Linked DNA regions of Saccharomyces cerevisiae S288C. Changing the gene in region 1 together with any one later gene gives a genetic interaction. Each region holds a gene or a part of one and is shown in the gene's direction. Other genes may lie near its edges.

Region 1 (8,405 bases):
CGCATTTAACATCATCTGGGGTCAAATTCCGGCTCTCATGGGATACAACTCATTAGTGAATACCAGAGAAGCAACGTATAAGGTTGTAATTAACACTCTGAAACATTTACCAAACACAAAGTTAGACGCCGTTTTTGGCTTGATTCCGTTGGTAATCCTCTATGTATGGAAATGGTGGTGTGGTACATTTGGTATAACTTTGGCAGATAGATATTATCGAAATCAACCAAAGGTAGCAAATAGACTGAAATCCTTCTATTTCTATGCACAAGCTATGAGAAATGCCGTCGTCATAGTAGTTTTTACTGCCATATCGTGGAGCATAACAAGAAACAAATCTTCAAAAGACCGTCCAATCAGTATTCTGGGTACAGTTCCCTCGGGCTTAAATGAGGTGGGAGTTATGAAAATCCCAGACGGTCTGCTATCTAATATGAGTTCAGAAATACCTGCTTCAATTATCGTTCTGGTGTTAGAACACATCGCTATTTCAAAATCCTTTGGTAGAATTAACGACTACAAGGTTGTCCCTGACCAAGAACTTATTGCGATTGGTGTGACAAATTTGATAGGGACATTTTTTCACTCATATCCAGCAACTGGGTCATTTTCCAGATCTGCTTTGAAAGCAAAATGTAACGTGCGCACTCCGTTTTCTGGGGTATTCACTGGCGGTTGCGTTCTATTAGCACTTTATTGTTTAACTGACGCCTTCTTTTTCATTCCTAAAGCGACACTATCGGCGGTTATTATTCATGCTGTTTCTGATTTGCTGACTTCTTACAAAACCACCTGGACCTTCTGGAAGACCAACCCGTTAGATTGTATCTCATTTATCGTTACAGTGTTCATCACAGTATTTTCATCCATTGAAAATGGTATATATTTTGCAATGTGTTGGTCATGTGCAATGTTACTATTGAAACAGGCTTTCCCTGCTGGTAAATTCCTTGGTCGTGTTGAGGTGGCAGAAGTATTGAACCCAACAGTACAAGAGGATATTGATGCTGTGATATCATCTAATGAATTACCTAATGAACTGAATAAACAGGTTAAGTCTACTGTTGAGGTTTTACCAGCCCCAGAGTATAAGTTTAGCGTAAAGTGGGTTCCGTTCGATCATGGATACTCAAGAGAATTGAATATCAATACCACAGTTCGGCCTCCTCCACCAGGTGTCATAGTCTATCGTTTGGGTGATAGCTTTACTTACGTGAACTGCTCAAGGCATTATGACATTATATTTGATCGTATTAAGGAAGAAACAAGGCGAGGCCAACTTATAACCTTAAGGAAAAAGTCAGACCGTCCATGGAATGATCCTGGTGAATGGAAAATGCCAGATTCTTTGAAATCACTATTTAAATTTAAACGTCATTCAGCAACAACGAATAGTGACCTACCGATATCGAATGGAAGCAGTAACGGAGAAACATATGAAAAGCCGCTACTGAAAGTCGTCTGCCTGGATTTTTCCCAAGTTGCTCAAGTGGATTCAACCGCTGTTCAAAGCCTGGTTGATCTGAGAAAAGCTGTGAATAGGTATGCGGATAGACAAGTCGAATTCCATTTTGCCGGAATTATATCTCCATGGATCAAAAGAAGTCTTTTGAGTGTTAAATTCGGAACTACAAATGAGGAATATAGTGACGACTCTATTATCGCTGGCCATTCTAGTTTTCACGTTGCAAAAGTTTTGAAGGATGATGTGGATTATACTGATGAAGACAGCCGTATAAGCACATCTTACAGTAACTATGAAACATTATGTGCTGCAACTGGGACAAATTTACCGTTTTTTCATATCGATATACCCGATTTTTCTAAATGGGACGTTTAGTGTAGTAGATAGTAAGTACTTTAATTACCCCCCCTGTTTTTAGTTATACATGAAAAGATAATTGTGTTATTAATGTAGATTACCATCAAATAGCTGGAATATTTATTATTTTGAGTATGTTGAATGGCGAAAGTAAAAATAAATTTTATAATTTCCTGAAAGCATTAGTACACGAAAAGGGCCGTTTTCAGTAGTTTAAGGCGCTGAAAAGACATGGTCTAGAAGTTAACTTGAGCTTGAGCCTATTTTCTACAAATGTCCTTTGAAAATACAAAAATAAAAATAAAAATGCATTTAAGTATTAAGCTTATGCTAGATAGAGCAACATTTTCCTAATTTTTTTTGAATTTATTTCATGGTTTTTAGGCGGAAAGAGTTTGGACGGCTTGTCTCTCCTAATGTGGAAGAAATTATGTTTTGTTATGAATCTGAAAAGAAAAATACTATTTTAGCAATACAATGAATTTTAAAAAGTTACCCTGTACTTTAATCCTTCAATTAAAACACTTCTTAAAATAGTATATTTTGAAGATCATCGATATATATACAGAGGCAGTTTTGCAAGGCAGATAACGTTATTGAGTTGTATGTAGGCTGTGTGATTTTAATCTCATAAATCAATAATGGAATAATTTTCTTATTGTTAATATCGATTTATATTTTCCAACAATACAATGAAGTAAGTACTATTTCTATTTGGAAGGAATTCATTCCCCATTTTAGCTCCTCGAGCGGATGAATCCATCACTGTTTTGAAGAAAACCAACAAAGTGTCAAATAGTTGTCTTTTTGAAATTGGTTCTGAAGAGTTTTCGGAAAATGATCTGATAACAGGCCTTTCTAAAAATATAAGGTTGAACGAATGTATGGGTTAGGTAATCAAAATTTAGGCGCCAACAAGGAATTTTTCTTTAAAATCGCATGAAAAGCCTACACTTGGCATAAATAAGGTGCAATTATAAATATAAAAGCAAGATATTTTCGAGATGCTTCCAGGATTTATACAATGAAAGAGCCCAAAGCTGCTGATAACGATGAAGCCGGAAAAACTCTTCTCCGGTTTAGGTACCAGCGATGGCGAGTATGGAGTGGTAAATAGCGAGAACATATCAATAGATGCTATGCAAGATAATAGAGGCGAGTGTCATCGTAGATCCATAGAAATGCATGCTAATGACAATCTGGGATTGGTCTCCCAGCGAGACTGTACCAATCGGCCCAAAATTACTCCTCAGGAATGTTTGAGTGAGACTGAGCAGATATGCCATCATGGCGAGAATAGGACTAAGGCTGGGTTAGATGTAGACGATGCTGAAACCGGTGGTGATCACACCAATGAATCCCGTGTAGATGAATGTTGTGCTGAGAAAGTGAACGACACTGAGACTGGCTTGGATGTGGACAGCTGTTGCGGCGATGCTCAAACAGGTGGTGACCACACCAATGAATCCTGTGTTGATGGATGCTGCGTTAGAGATTCTTCAGTGATGGTCGAGGAAGTTACAGGCAGCTGCGAAGCTGTATCTTCTAAAGAACAATTGCTGACCAGCTTTGAAGTTGTTCCAAGCAAATCTGAAGGTCTGCAATCTATTCATGATATTAGAGAGACAACTCGCTGCAATACCAATTCCAACCAACACACAGGGAAGGGTAGGCTTTGCATCGAATCAAGTGACTCTACACTCAAGAAAAGAAGTTGTAAAGTTAGCAGACAGAAAATTGAGGTTTCCAGTAAGCCTGAGTGCTGCAACATTTCATGTGTTGAGCGGATTGCATCTCGTAGCTGTGAAAAGAGGACTTTTAAAGGTAGCACCAATGTTGGAATTTCTGGGAGTAGCTCTACCGACAGTTTAAGCGAGAAGTTCTTCAGCGAACAGTACTCTAGAATGTACAATCGTTACTCCTCAATTTTGAAAAATTTAGGTTGTATCTGTAACTATTTGCGTACTTTGGGAAAAGAATCTTGTTGTCTCCCAAAGGTGCGTTTTTGTAGCGGGGAGGGTGCTTCTAAAAAGACAAAATACTCCTACCGCAACAGTTCTGGATGTTTAACAAAGAAAAAGACCCATGGAGACAAAGAAAGGTTGAGCAATGACAATGGCCATGCTGATTTTGTTTGTTCTAAAAGTTGTTGCACTAAAATGAAGGATTGTGCTGTTACCTCAACTATTTCTGGACACTCTTCGAGTGAAATTTCAAGAATCGTATCAATGGAACCAATTGAAAATCATCTTAATCTTGAGGCAGGATCTACCGGTACCGAGCACATTGTTCTTAGTGTTTCAGGAATGTCCTGTACTGGTTGTGAATCAAAACTTAAGAAATCATTTGGCGCGCTCAAATGTGTTCACGGTTTGAAGACCAGTTTAATATTATCGCAAGCTGAATTTAATCTGGATCTTGCTCAGGGATCTGTCAAGGATGTTATCAAGCACTTGAGCAAAACTACTGAATTCAAGTACGAACAGATTTCAAATCATGGTTCAACTATAGATGTTGTTGTTCCTTATGCAGCAAAAGATTTTATTAATGAGGAATGGCCACAAGGTGTCACAGAGCTGAAAATTGTTGAGAGAAATATCATTCGTATTTACTTTGACCCAAAGGTTATAGGTGCCAGAGATCTTGTCAATGAAGGATGGAGCGTGCCTGTTAGTATTGCTCCATTCAGTTGTCATCCAACCATTGAAGTGGGAAGGAAGCATTTAGTTCGTGTAGGCTGCACGACCGCTTTATCCATAATATTGACGATCCCGATTCTCGTGATGGCTTGGGCTCCACAGCTTCGTGAAAAAATTTCCACTATCTCCGCGTCAATGGTGCTAGCAACTATTATTCAATTTGTTATTGCAGGACCGTTTTACTTAAATGCCTTGAAGAGTTTGATATTTTCCAGGCTCATTGAAATGGATCTACTAATAGTTTTAAGCACTAGCGCTGCCTACATATTTTCGATTGTATCATTTGGATATTTCGTTGTTGGACGCCCGTTATCTACGGAGCAGTTTTTTGAAACCAGCTCTTTGCTTGTAACTCTCATCATGGTTGGTCGCTTTGTGAGTGAACTAGCTAGACATAGGGCTGTAAAGTCAATATCAGTACGTTCCTTACAGGCCTCTTCTGCTATTCTGGTGGATAAAACTGGTAAAGAGACGGAAATTAATATTAGACTTCTCCAATATGGCGATATTTTTAAGGTTTTACCTGATTCAAGAATCCCAACTGATGGAACAGTCATTTCTGGGTCTTCTGAAGTCGACGAAGCGTTAATCACAGGTGAATCTATGCCAGTCCCGAAAAAGTGTCAATCAATTGTTGTTGCAGGATCGGTGAATGGCACTGGTACTTTGTTTGTGAAGCTGAGCAAGCTTCCAGGGAACAATACTATTAGTACCATAGCCACGATGGTTGATGAAGCAAAATTAACTAAGCCAAAGATCCAAAATATCGCTGATAAAATTGCAAGTTATTTCGTGCCAACTATCATTGGAATCACTGTCGTCACCTTTTGCGTTTGGATAGCGGTTGGAATCCGTGTGGAAAAGCAATCCCGCTCCGATGCCGTAATTCAGGCCATTATATATGCCATTACGGTACTTATCGTTTCGTGTCCCTGCGTGATTGGACTTGCCGTTCCTATCGTATTTGTTATTGCAAGTGGCGTCGCTGCGAAAAGAGGGGTAATCTTCAAATCAGCAGAGAGTATAGAAGTTGCTCACAACACTTCGCATGTTGTCTTCGATAAAACGGGTACCCTAACTGAAGGAAAACTTACTGTAGTACATGAAACTGTTAGGGGTGATCGTCATAATTCTCAATCTTTGTTGCTTGGATTAACTGAAGGAATAAAACACCCAGTTTCCATGGCAATAGCATCCTATCTCAAAGAAAAAGGTGTTTCTGCTCAAAATGTTTCTAATACAAAAGCTGTGACTGGTAAGCGGGTAGAAGGAACATCATACTCTGGTTTGAAGTTACAAGGAGGGAACTGTCGTTGGCTTGGTCATAACAATGATCCTGACGTTCGAAAAGCCCTTGAACAAGGATATTCTGTATTCTGTTTTAGTGTTAATGGTTCAGTCACTGCAGTTTATGCATTAGAGGACTCTTTACGGGCAGATGCTGTCTCCACTATTAACTTGTTACGCCAAAGAGGGATTTCACTACACATTTTATCAGGGGATGACGATGGAGCCGTTCGTTCTATGGCAGCCCGTCTTGGAATTGAAAGCTCCAATATTCGTTCTCACGCAACGCCTGCAGAAAAGAGTGAATATATTAAGGATATTGTCGAAGGAAGAAATTGCGATAGTTCTTCGCAGTCAAAAAGACCGGTTGTTGTTTTTTGCGGTGACGGAACAAACGACGCAATTGGTTTGACTCAAGCAACGATTGGAGTTCATATCAATGAGGGAAGTGAGGTTGCCAAGCTAGCTGCTGATGTAGTTATGTTAAAGCCAAAGCTCAACAATATTTTGACTATGATAACTGTAAGTCAAAAGGCCATGTTTAGGGTCAAATTGAATTTCTTATGGAGTTTTACTTACAACTTATTTGCTATCCTTTTGGCGGCTGGTGCCTTTGTTGACTTTCATATTCCACCAGAGTATGCGGGTTTAGGGGAACTAGTTAGTATCCTCCCTGTAATTTTTGTAGCTATACTTCTGCGTTATGCAAAGATTTAGTCCAGGTACTGCTGCTATTTGATTGTAGATTTTCTTTTTTCTTTTCTTTTTTTTTTTTGACGACTCTGTAATACTCTATTTATTATTTAGTTTAGTTTTCTATTTAATATGATGGAATTCATAAAAAAAAAAAATACACATAGCCATGCCAGGTAATTGCAGATCAACTGATAAATTAGAAAAAAATTAATGCATCTTTAAGGTTTTAAATTAGAAATGTTTTAACTTTAAAGTCACTGAGCAATAAAAGTTCTACCTAATGTTGTAAAACTGTATTCATAACCGAAACACATTATGATTATGTCATTTGGTATTCCACACCAAAGCGAGGAGCATTCAAAATGATACCATTTATGATACCGGCAATCAAACCAGCAATTGGTAAAGTTAAAAACCAACCAGAATAACACCAGGCTACCATTCTCCAATTAACTGATTTGAGATCCTTGTTACATAAACCAACAGCGACAATACCACCAACGGCGATCTGGGTTGTTGAGGTAGGAATACCTAATTGGGTAGCCATGACAGTAGTAATAGCAACAGCTAGTTCAATTGAAAAGCCTCTTGATGGCGACTGCAAAATCATCTTATTACCTAGATTTTTGATAATATTGTAACCATAAGTCCAGCAACCAATAACTAAGGCAACACCACCATAAGCCAGAACCCACACGGGAACTTCGGACTTTGCCCCAATAGTGTTAGTTTTCCAGATCACATACACAGCAGACAAAGGACCAGTAGCGTTGGCAACGTCATTAGCTCCATGAGCAAAAGACATAGTGGCTGCAGTAATGGCTTGGAGAACCGAATAGATATATTCTACTCTATTGTCGTAAAATTTAGATCTTTCGTACATTCCTTTCAGGTCACCAGATAACATATCTCTATCATTAACTTGAGCATGAATGACGTCTTGAGTCCAACCATGAGAGATTACTAACCAGAACAATAAGGGCCATTTTTTAGGTCCTTGCTTTAATAATGACCACCAATATTGTTTCGTTGACAACTTTGTTTCTGGTTCAGTTTCAGTTCTAACCAGGTCCACTTCCTGGATGTCTTCTTTGTTTTTGACGGAATCATTAGAATTACTCGCTGCCTTATTTTCTTCGTCTTCAACAGAAACAGTTGTTCCAAGATTTCTTCTGCCCTCGTAATAATCGATTGTTAATTGATGGCCTTCTGGCATTGGTGGGATATCATCAGTGGACTTAAAGTAAAAAGATGGACCTCTGAAAATATCAATCAACTTTAGTGTCCAATCTTGGTCCAAAACTTTTCTTCTGTAGAATGGGTAGAAAAAGATGAAGTAAACGATCGAAGCAATTGCACCTGTGAGAACAATAGATACGGCAGTTTCAGTTTCAGATAAATCGTCCAAGTGTAGGTTTGGAGAACCCTTCCAGACAATCAACATTGTTAAGATAGAGAAAGTGGCGAATACTAAAACACCAACCAGCAGTAAAGCATTCTTAATCGATCTTTCCAAAGACTTAACTTCAAGGACAGAAAACCTAGAAATTGAAAAAACTATAGCTGCGATCGCGCCTGCCAAAATCGGAGCAATGAACCATGACGCAATAATTTGAGAAACACCACTCCAACCCCAAACGACACCGTTAGCTCCACCGGCTGCAATCCCAGCGCCAATTGTACCACCAACAATGGAATGTGTAGTAGAAACTGGCATTCCGATTGCAGTAGCAAATGTTAACCAACAAGACGAGCCAATCAAAGCACTGGTCATAGTAAGCATTAAAACAGCGGGGTCGTTGGTAAAAATGGAGGAATCTATAATGTTGTTCTTGATAGTACCAGAAACTCTTGCGCCTGCCAAGACAGCACCCAAGAACTCACAGAGACCCGCCAAAACC
Region 2 (3,063 bases), on another chromosome or scaffold:
GCTGTGAGATTGAACGCTACGAAAGCAGAAGGTAAAATTATCGTTAGTAATTGGTGTTTCATTAATTCAAATGAACGGTTCGTGATCACTCTCGAAAACTGTGCCCTGACCTACATTCAGGGCTGGCAGACAGATGCAGATGCAACAATTACTCTCAAAAGAACTACATTTGAAGCTTTATTGGCCAATGAAATTACTATGGTTGATTTTTTAAGATCAAAAGAAGTCGAAATAGAGGGTAATCGACTCAGAATTGAAGAGCTGTTGAAGTTGTTTGACGACTTCGACCAGTCCTTTCCCGTCGTTGAGCCTATGGGGGGAAGCACTTGAATATATTATCAGAAATCGGCGAGAAACTTGATTTTTAGATGCCAACTTTTTTATCCACTATATTATATAATTTTTCAATAGTATTTCTTCAATACGAGGCCTTTTGTGAAGAAGAGAAATCATTCCTGGCCCACTGATTATCATATACGATATCGAGAATGATATAAGTTATAAAGCTTGTAAAGTGTGGTTCGAGGTGTTATCGTATTTACTACAATTGGAAAAGTACGGATTAATATACAGTGAAACTAATGAATCAGAGTGTTTAAAAAAGGAAGACACAGTAATCTATAATACTTTGGTGGAGCTACAGGTTTCTATTTACAGTCACCTATACTTCCGAAGAGAGCTTTTCGTATATTCTGTTTTCCTAATAACATTTACTATTGTGAATTGAAATTTAAAGTTATCTCAAATTCAAATGAATCTGCCGTTTCGATTTACTTCGATAAAGTTTGCGTTCTTCAAAATGGTAGTTTCAGACCATCTACTTTCCATCACCTGGTTTTCATCGACATTCCAGCTAATAGTGGAAAGATAGATTCACACTAACGGTGGAATACAAACTCATAGTGATTACAACTGTTTCGGGCTTGTGGCGTATATTGTGGCGCGATGTAAGAGAATACTCAGAGGACCCTGCGCCACAAGCTAAGACAAAACAAAGAGAACTTATCTGGCAGCTCGCCGAGTTTCGGTGTTCTTTAGGGTGACGCTCACCGCTTGTCATTGTGAATAGACCACAATTTTCCTCCGATTTCTTCACAATGGCTCTGATGGAAAAGCCATCTGCTGAAGATAATATACTCACCTAGACTATTCAACAGCAATCGGGGTGTCATAGAGTTTTTTATCCATTACACAGATATGTAAATCTTTATTGACACTGCTGATAACCGAAGGCAGCCTGAGCCAATATACTTAGTATATAAACGTACTATTTCAGACACAAATTAATATAGCACTCTCTAAACACTTTGTTTCGTATTTATGTTTGAGTACAAGCCTGAAAAAGCCTCTGTAGAAACTACAGTTACTCAGTTAGAGGAGTCCCTTTCTGATAAACCTCTCTATTCATTGGTGAACATTCCCAATACCGACAACTCTCTGGAAAGCCTGAAAACCCCTTTTTAAATCCTGCTGTGGAAAAGTATTATAGACAGTTGTACGAGTCCACTAAGTATGAATGTCTTGAAAGATTTGATACAACATTTGAATGGACTAAGAAAGAAGAATAAAAAGTAGTGAGAAAGTTAGACTGGCATGTTACTCCCCTTTCATGTTTCCTATTTGTGGCCTTGCAGATTGATCGAGGTAATTTGTCACAAGCGGTCGCCGATAACTTATTGCATGATTTGGGTTTAAATGCTAACAATTATAACGTTGGAAACACCATATTCTACTTGACTTTCTTGTGTGCAGAATTACCCTCACAACTCATTTCGAAGAAACTAGGAGCTGATAGTTGGATTCCTCTGCAAATGATAGCGTGGTCCCTAGTGGCTACGTTGCAATGCAAAATGACAGGGAAGAGTTCTTTCTATACATGTAGAGCACTTATGGGCCTATTTGAAGGTGGTTTTGTGGCTGATTTGGTTCTCTGGATGTCGTACTTCTACAGCTCTTCAGAATTGTCAATAAGACTGTCGTTCTTCTGGGTGACACTATCTCTAACACAAATCATCACTTCAATTGTGGCCTTCGGGGTTTTTCACATGAGAGGGATAGGTGGCATGGCAGGGTGGCAATGGCTTTTTTTGATAGAAAGAATTTTCACTTTAGTCATCGGTATCAGTGCATACTTCTTGATGGTACCCTCCGTAGTTCAAACGAAGAAACCTTGGAGCAAGAAAGGATGGTTCACTGAGAGGGAAGAAAAAATCATCGTAAACAAGATTCTGAGAGATGATCCGACAAAAGGGGATATGAACAATAGGCAAGGTATGTCACTTAAAATGTTATGGCAGGGGATAACAGATTACTATATATAGCCTATCTACTTGATGGGCCTTTTGGCTTATATCCCTACGAACGTTTTGGCCACATACCTGACTTTGGTATTGAGAAGTATCGGTTTCACAACCTTTCAAGCCAACCTGCTAGCTATTCCTAACTTTGTTCTTCATATTCTCCTGCTGTTTGGTTTAACATGGTCGACAGAAAAATGTAATAACAGGCTAGGTTTGAGTCTGTTACAACCGTTGTACACTGTTCCTCTTCTTGCAGTTCTTCGCTTTTGGAAAGGTACAATGTTTAATAAATGGGGAACTTATGCAATTATTACCTTAATATTAGATAATCCGTATATCCATGCAATTTGTGTATCCTTGTGTTCTAGAAACTCCCAATCAGTTAAAACAAGAACAGTATCTACTTGCTTGTACAATATGTTCGTGCAAGCAGGTCTCATCATATCCTCAAACATTTATGCGAAAAGCGATGCCCCACTCTATCGTAAGGGAAATGGAGTTCTTTTTGGTTTGGCACTTTTTATGTTTCCAATATTAATTGGTAGCAAATTGATTTATGTCTATATCAACAAGCAGAGGGATAAGAGGTGGAATGCAATGTCAGAAGAGGAAAAAGACCACTATCTAAGTACTACTAGTGATGCTGGTTCACGTAGACTCGATTTTAGATTCTATCACTGAACTATGTAGAAATATGGATACAATCTCCATGTTATGTATTTTTTAAGTTTGTGAATCATTTTTTTCATTTAATGTTCTATAC

What was found.
Region 2: mutations in PCA1 (region 1) and YOL163W together harm fitness more than expected from each alone (negative genetic interaction), as found in Saccharomyces cerevisiae (2 studies listed by BioGRID).

What each region holds. Positions count from the first base shown.
Region 1 is NC_001134.8:789,975-798,379, forward strand, and holds PCA1 (cation-transporting P-type ATPase PCA1), read left to right. Parts: upstream 1-2,874; coding exon 2,875-6,525; downstream 6,526-8,405. Other genes in the region: SUL1 (sulfate permease), read left to right, coding at 1-1,840; PHO89 (Pho89p), read right to left, coding at 6,824-8,405.
Region 2 is NC_001147.6:7,786-10,848, forward strand, and holds YOL163W (uncharacterized protein), read left to right. Parts: upstream 1-1,811; coding exon 1,812-2,321; downstream 2,322-3,063. Other genes in the region: BDS1 (sulfuric ester hydrolase), read left to right, coding at 1-330; YOL162W (uncharacterized protein), read left to right, coding at 2,334-2,981.